2 linked regions of the Mus musculus genome follow. The main gene of each other region encodes a partner of the protein of the gene in region 2 in a complex. Links are inferred from orthologs where the notes say so. Each region holds a gene or a part of one and is shown on either strand. Other genes may lie near its edges.

Region 1 (4,042 bases), on a different chromosome or scaffold from region 2:
TGTCGTACCAACTGTCGTTCTCAAAATGAAGTTCCTAGACCGCACGAAAACCATCCAAGTACTGAAGCCATTGGAATTCTTATGCTTAGCCCACATGGCTAAGAAACTTTGTGAGTGGGACTGAGCACGGTTTGCCTTTAGACTCCCCTTGGTGAGTCTACTGAACAGCGTGAAAAGCACCGTTTTAGACTAATTAATCTGATTCTAAGTTTTTCCAGCCTATAGTGACCACTTAAATATTAAGGATAATCCCTGCGACATGTCTGCTTTCTAAACTAGAAATTACTTCCTCACACAAATAAATCTGTAACAAGAAATGTTAAACTTAAGCACAACTGGTTTTATGAGCTCCATCTGTTGGATACACCTGACTTGTGTCATAGACTTATAAAGGAACACCCAGGACCGAGATGACCTGCATTCATATGCAGGAATGCTCTTTACAATCTCCTTTCTATAGCATTTGCCATTACAGTTTTCTAAGGCAACTCAAAGATGACCGAAAGCAAAGGGAAAGCAATTCAGGTTTCCTCCCTGGAGGAGGGGAAGCAGTCCCTCCACACTTGTCTGCTTGAATCCTACCCCTTATCAAACAATAATGCACCCTACTGGAGTTTCAGGTAAACAATAACTTGTATCAGTAAGTCTGTCTGGGACACATCTACACTGATCGGCATCAGTGAAGTCAAAATTAACTAGGCATCTTTGTTTGCCTCTTGAAACAGCGTCCTTCCTGTTAAATACTCACTCTGTAGCCCAGGCTGCTCTTAACAGGCAGTGTCCTGATAACTCTTTTCTCTTTGGCTATGATTAGCAATCCTATGCCTGATAACCCAGTACCTTTATGACCACAATCCACTCAGCCATATCTATTACCAAGCTCTCCTATCTTAGAGGAAGACAGCATAGGGAGGGCACGAAGCTTTAGGTGAGGAGCACTGCTTAGACAGGTTTTATGCTGGCCCCTTCAGCAAACAGGAAATAGAGGCAAACGAGGCAATTCCTGTCCTTTTACAACAGCTTTTTGGTTTTTATGCTCAACATTTTTAAGAGAAGGCCTTAAATTGTTGATTCTCTCTCACCTCAGACTCCCAAGTCATAGAGCTACATGAGTGACTCACCAGGCCTAGCCCAGTTTAATCATTTAACAATAACTATCATTTAGAAATCATATTAGAAAAAAATTAACGTTAAGGATTCAGCAAGCATCCCATTTTTCTTTCTTCATCTCCAAAATACAATGTGCTGAACCTTTGTTCTCACATAGGTACTGTGATTAACACTATTCAAACCTCAAGAGGCTACCTTCCTTCACCCACCTCATCACTCTGTGAGTCTTACGTGTCCCTTGTAACACTGAAATGAAGCAAACAGCTCTCTTGCATTTTTCCATGAATCCTCTTTTGTTTCCTTCTAAAATACACTCGAACTATTTAGTCTCTACATCATCTTTAGTGTTTTTGTTGGTTTTTTAAAAATGCATCAAAGCCAGCAACACTCACTGGTCGTGGTGGCAGCTCACTCCCTTAATCCCAGCACTTGGGAGGCAGAGGCAGGAAATTAAGTTTGAGGCCAGCCTGGTCTACAGAGTGGAGTTCCAGGGCAGCCAAAACTATGCAGAAAAACCCTATCTCAAACCACCACCACCAAAACAAACAAATAAAACAACACCCCCAAACAAAACCAAACCGTCCTAATGCAGTAGTTCTCAACCTTCCTAAGGTATAATTCCTCATGTTGTGGTGACCCCCAACCATAAAATTATTCCATTGTTACTTCATAAAGTAATTGACACCATCACCACCACCCCTCCAAGGAGTCCCGCGCAGCAGGTGGAAACTCACTGCCCTAACGTTTGTGATATATTTCTCTTCCCTCAAATTTGCTGCCAACCATTCACCATTAATTTAAAACTTCAGTCACTTATTTAGACTCACTTAGTGGCTGCTTTTGCTCTTTTAAGAAATTAAAGGACTATTTTAGCTTTAGCAAATATAAAAAAATATTTGTAAAGAACTCTTAAAGGCATGCAATAATTTTAAAACTTTAAGCACTTTCCCTGAAAAGTTCACTATTCTAAGGACATCAGAAGCTCAACTGGCTGTGACAGTAACGGCAGTGAGGCGCTTTACTCGTTAACAGAAGGATGGAAGGGGTTACCTTGAAGCTGACATACTGTAGGTGGTTTGAGTGCCTTTTGATAATCTGTTTGATCAGCTCTGGGTGTGTGGCTTTCAAGTAAGATGTCGCTGGCTGATTCAGTTCAAATTCAAAACATCGCCACAAGTCAGGCATGTGAAATACCTGATTCCAATTCCGGCACACTTGGGAAGCATGAGCCCGGTCAAGAAGAGGCAAATACTTAAAAACATGGAGGACGATGTCCTGCAGGAGGTTACCCCAGTCACAAGGCTGCGAGCGCTCCTGTGTCGTCCTCGGTCTCTTGGGCTTCTCGGCAGTGCCTTCCTCAGCAGAGTCCTGGTCACTATCTCTTCCTCCTCGTTTCATCCTATTCAAGACAATCCATCATTTCCCATCCTACTTAACTTTTGATCAAATTCATCTTCTGTTACTGAAATGTGTTTGGATTTGGACAGAAATACGCATGAAAACCTGGCCCAACAATTCAAGGAGAATATAAAAATGCAATGAAACCTGCCGGTGGAGATGAAACTCCTGAAGTGATTTTAAACAGCTACATTTAAAACTACTTATAACTTAGGTAAACCATGAATTTATAACTCAAAACTTGTAGTCAACTCTAAAGGAGAACTACAGTGATAAAATCCAATTTTCTGTCAAATTTAAGGTACACCAAGGTCCGCATGAACCTCTAAACTCTTAAGTGGTCAACAGAGCTGCACTGAACAGCCTGTGAACAGCCTGCTACACATACCCCACCTCTGCTTGGTGGACGTAAATCTGGACTGAGAGTACAGCCCAATGGTAAAGCCCCTGCCTTAAGTACTCCCGCCCAAGCTCGACCTGCAGCTGCATGAAGTAGATGAGTAGTTACAGCAGTCTGCCTGACTAAGCTAAGCTTTGTCTCAGCTAGGATATGGTTTCTTCTCCCAACACATAACTGTCACTGTTTTTCCTGTCCATTTTCTGTATGTTTCCGCCATGGTTTTTCTATGTATTCTTACCCCCTTCATGCCATGAGATGTTCACGACAAACGGTACCATCAGCTCGAAGACCAAGCTCTCTCGAGGTTTGAATACTAGCTACACTTCAAAATAGCTCCATGGCTTTGGGAAATTACAAGACTGTCAGTACAAGACTGTCAGATGCTTCAGTTTGCAAAATGGTGATCTTTTGATACAGGGTTCTTGACATCTCAGCCCAGTATGGAAGCCATCACAAAGAAGTGACTGTCCCCAGAATGGGAAGAGCAATTTAATTTTTCTTTCAAAAAAGGGGAGGGAGCAGTGGTGTAGAGAAATGCCCTGGCAAGAGCATCACTAGCTTAGGGTAACAGCTGAAAATGCGCAGTGGGGCGGCACAAGCTCCAGCTATGTTCCCCAATATGCTCTTTTTCTTTCTACATTGTATACAGCTATTTCATGTAATCAGAGTTCCAAAGGACACATCTTCATTTGTTACTTTATTTACACTGCACTCTAGTCTAACCTGGACCATTCCTTGGTACTAGTATTTAGTCTAGGATCTACCATGATTTTTAGAGAGCAATTCTAGTAAGGCGCTGGTCCAAACAAGACTCAAAAGGATGGCTTGACTCCAACCAACTTGTGACAAATCATGTCGCAAGAATCGGGTTCCTCCGTGGTATGAAGGATATGCGTCTGTACAGACTTTCTCATCCAGAGGCTGGCAGAGAAGGGCTGAGGGCTGGAGAAAACAAACAGGATGGCAGAGAGCACAACCCTACATCGTCAGTCCAGGAGGCCTTGAAAAAGGAACTGTCTCCTTTGTTGTTCCTGCATCTGACTGTATGCACACACACAAAAGGGCATAGTCTCCAGGAAAAGCAGAATTCAGAAAACAAAATAACAGATGACAAGATGGCTTTATGGAACATTC
Region 2 (3,766 bases):
GTCTTAATTTATATGTAGGATGTTATATTTAATTATGGCCATATAAATTCTTGTCAGGATAGACTAAGTTCTGGGCCATACAAGTCCCAGATGTAAAAGTATTCAAGTTATACAAAGTATGTTCTCTGACTTCAGTGGTAGAAGCATGAAAAATGTTTGAAGCTGGGTGCAGTGGTGCATACCTTTAATATAGAATATAGGGGCAGAGCTCTGAGTTTGAGACCAGCCTGATCTACATAGCATGTTTTAAGATACTCAGGGCTACGCGCAGTGAGGCCTTGTCTCAAAATAAAGTAAAACCTGGGGAAAAATTGTGAATATTTGAAAATTCAGTAATTTATTTTTAAGCCAAAGGAAAATTTTACATTAGTATTTCTAATTGAATTTAAATAAAACAACTTAAAATTTAGGATAAAGCTAAAGCAGTGTATAAGAAGAAAGCTAGTGCCGGGCAGTGGTGCCGCACACCTGCCTTTAATCCCAGCACTGGGGAGGCAGACGCAGGTGGATTTCTGAGTTCGAGGACGGCCAGGGCTACACAGAGAAACCCTGTCTTGAAACAACAACAAAAAACCCAAAAACCAAAGAAGAAAGCTAGTGAAAGGTGAAACTACATTGAAAATAATCAGTATTACAGGGCAGAGAATTTCATAAGAGTTCATTAAACGGGGTATCATTTTAAGCTCAATTTGATGTAAATTGTTAACCTTAAATATTCAGTACATATGACTAAAAAACCTGCTATTAATTACAGGCTGCAAACTACTTAGACATCAAAGGTTTGCTTGATGTCACATGCAAGACTGTGGCCAATATGATTAAGGGGAAAACTCCTGAGGAGATTCGTAAAACCTTCAATATCAAAAATGACTTTACTGAAGAGGAAGAGGCCCAGGTAGGTAGCACACAACCCATCTTCAATTGCTTTTTAAAAAGAAACTGGAACCCAATACCAAGACAAGAAAAAAAGCCCATCAGAAAGTCTTGGTCTTGTGCTGCTTACCCGAGAACACCTTTAAAATTTCCTTGATACCAGTGGGGCGTGGTGGCAAATGCCCTTTATCTCCCAGTACTTGGGAAGCTGAGGTAGATTGTGAGTTCCAGGGCTACATAGAGAAACCTGTCTTAGAGAACAAAAGAACTAATAACAACAAAAGTCTTGATACAAAGGCATAATGTGCATCTGTCTCTGGATCTAAGCAGTTAGGTGAGAGAGTTCTTGAAGACTTTAATTTTAATTCATGAGTATGATCATGGTGCCCAGAAGAGAGCATCAGATTTCTTGAAGTTGGAGCTACAGGTGGTTGTGAGCTGTGGGTGGGGGTGGGATAGGAATTATGTCCTCCAGGATAACAGTTTTAACCTGAGTTATGTTCAGCTTGCTACTGTTCTTTTAGAAACATAAGAAAAATGGATTTTGAACTAAAGAGGTTCTTCATTATCAGATTCTTTTTTTTTTTAAACCTGTGATATTTGTATAGGTTGTAAACTGTTGGCTTTAGAAATCAGGGCCTGATAATAGAAGAGTGGATGAGTTGGGTGTGCTTGCCAGCTTAGAAAGTGGGACTAGAGCTTTCAGTTGACATCTGCTGTTCAATGTTAGAAAGTTAGTCATCAGGTCTGCTTTTACTTAGCCTAATATTTTCCCAGCTTTCCATTTTCCTTTCTCATATGACATAGGCTATTGATGATACAGTATAGGTAGTGCTTAGCCATCTCAGGAAAGACAACTCAAGGTATACCTTCTGTCTCTTCTAGGTACGCAAAGAGAACCAATGGTGTGAAGAGAAGTGAACTGCTGTGCCTGTCACTGTAACACTAGAAGGGTTGTTCCAAATGCTAGTTGCACTGCTCTGTTTATAATTGTTAATATTAGAGATCAGTAGACAAACATCGCCTTGTCTTCACTGCATGTGTAGTTCCAGTCCAGATCAGACCTGTGGCTGAGTTTCTTCTGTGAGCAGAAGTTTCCTTTTCCCCCCATTACTCTGAATAAAACCGAACTATGGGTTCTCTGCGGAAAGTGGCATTTTGGGCTTTCCCTTTCTGTAAAGTGATTTCTGCCTCTAGTTCATTGTCCAGTTAACTTCAGTGAGCCTTTCAAAGTTGACATTGTAAATAAAACAACTTAAGAAAAGTATGCTGAAATAGAATTAACAAAACATGATACTTGTTCATGAATCGGAAACTGGAATAGGGCAGCTTGAAGTTAACCATGTGGGTGTCTTCCAACCTCTATGCTGCTGGTAAGCTTGAGTGCAGCTGGGCTCTCTTAATTGGATCTGAGGCCTTGTTTTTTCTTTTTTTTTTTCTTTTTTTTTTTTTTAATCTTCTCAGCTTTGAATATGTTGCCTAGAGATTTAGTTTACTACCCAGTTTGTGGTTTTGGAGTGGGAACTGTAACTCAACAATTTGTTAGCTTTTCAATTAAAAAAGACACTTACTTCATGTGGTATGTCATCTTTTTATCATCATTGTTCCCAGGTGGAGAAACACTACTTGCATGTAAAAATTAATTTAACCTTTTAACATTAAAGTGTATGGTAAAACTCAGAAAACAGCCATCCTAAGTGCAAGATGCTTTTCAATAAAAAGTAGTACAATAGGTAGTAAACAGTTGCTTTTGTGGATGTAAATGTGTTTCTTAATGAATTAAGGTTTTTTTTTTTTAAAGATTTGTTTATTATACATAAGAACACTGTAGCTATCTTCAGACACACCAGAAGAAGGCATCAGGTCTCATTACAGATGGTTGTGAGCAACTATGTGGTTGCTGGGATTTGCACTCATGATCTCTTACCCTCTGAGCCATCTAGCCAGCCCATTTGGTTATTTTTTAATTGTAGAGAATCTTGCTGAATGGTTGTAGATAGTACCCACATCTTTTTTAATCCCAGCACTTGTAAGGTCAGCCTGGTTTACAAAGGAAATTCTAGAAAGCCCAGGCTACAAAGAGAAACCCTGTCTTCAAAAGCAAAAGAAAAAAAAATTCAAGTGGGTTTTTTTTGTTGTTTTTTGTTTTTTTGAGGGGGTGGAGGGTGGGGGTTTGAGACAGGGTTTCTCTGTGTAGCCCTGGCTGTCCTGGAACTCACTCTGGACCAGGCTGGCCTCGAACTCAGAAATCCGCCTGCCTCTGCCTCCCGAGTGCTGGAAGTAAAGGCGTGCGCCACCATACCCGGTGATTTGGTTTTTTGAGGCAGGGTTACTCTGTAGACCAGGCTGGCCTCAAACTGCCTGGCCAGTGATTAGTTCTTAAGACGTAACTGCTCAGCCACTATTTTTAGCTTCCTTTATGGTAGATTTTCCCCTTTATTTTGTAATGCTGGACATTGAACACTAAGAGCTTTGCACACATTAAGTGCTCTCCCTCTGAGCCCCATTGCTAGACACTGCCTTTTCCTACTGAGGCTCCCATTTATTTTGTGTTTTTGCTAGCTAATGATAATCCCGTTACTTTACATTCTCGTTACAGTTGCTGTGAAGCATGCTGGCCTAGATTATCACTTTACACAGCAACTTGGCTCTTCCCTAGCAAAGCCTTAAATGTTGCCTTTTAATCCCCACTTTCTTTATTCTCAGATTAGGTTTAACTATGTATGTCTAGGCTGGCATTGACTCGGGGTAGGGTCCTCTTGCCTCATCTTTGAGAGCATTGGGAATTTGAGATGCACACCACCATTTTTTGTTCCCATTTATTTTCAATACATAGATAAAATAACATACCTGTCATCTTGTTCTAGTCTGGTTCTGCCATCTTTGTAAGATG

Evidence for each region.
Region 1: the proteins of Skp1 (region 2) and Fbxl3 are in contact, whole or in part, in a crystal structure (PDB 4I6J), measured with the Homo sapiens proteins. The link is inferred for Mus musculus from reciprocal best matches to the Homo sapiens genes SKP1 and FBXL3. Residues at the interface, in NP_733779.1 of Homo sapiens: Gln97, Leu100, Phe101, Ile104, Leu105, Asn108, Leu116, Asp117, Cys120, Lys121, Val123, Ala124, Ile127, Lys128, Gly129, Lys130, Pro132, Ile135, Arg136, Phe139, Ile141, Lys142, Asn143, Asp144, Phe145, Thr146, Glu149, Glu150, Val153, Arg154; in NP_036290.1 of Homo sapiens: Asp35, Trp36, Gly37, Leu39, Leu40, Ile43, Gln46, Val47, Tyr50, Leu51, Leu53, Leu54, Asp55, Ala57, His58, Ala59, Ser60, Gln61, Val62, Cys63, Arg64, Trp66, Asn67, Phe70, Glu82, Lys92, Ala93, Thr94, His95, Glu97.

Annotation. Positions count from the first base shown.
Region 1 is NC_000080.6:103,093,033-103,097,074, forward strand, and holds part of Fbxl3 (F-box/LRR-repeat protein 3), read right to left. Parts: intron 2,510-4,042; 5' UTR 2,509-2,509; coding exon 2,161-2,508; intron 1-2,160. UniProt on the Homo sapiens protein: Substrate-recognition component of the SCF(FBXL3) E3 ubiquitin ligase complex involved in circadian rhythm function. Plays a key role in the maintenance of both the speed and the robustness of the circadian clock oscillation.
Region 2 is NC_000077.6:52,244,227-52,247,992, forward strand, and holds the end of Skp1 (S-phase kinase-associated protein 1), read left to right. Parts: intron 1-754; coding exon 755-895; intron 896-1,758; coding exon 1,759-1,794; 3' UTR 1,795-2,632; downstream 2,633-3,766. UniProt on the Homo sapiens protein: Essential component of the SCF (SKP1-CUL1-F-box protein) ubiquitin ligase complex, which mediates the ubiquitination of proteins involved in cell cycle progression, signal transduction and transcription.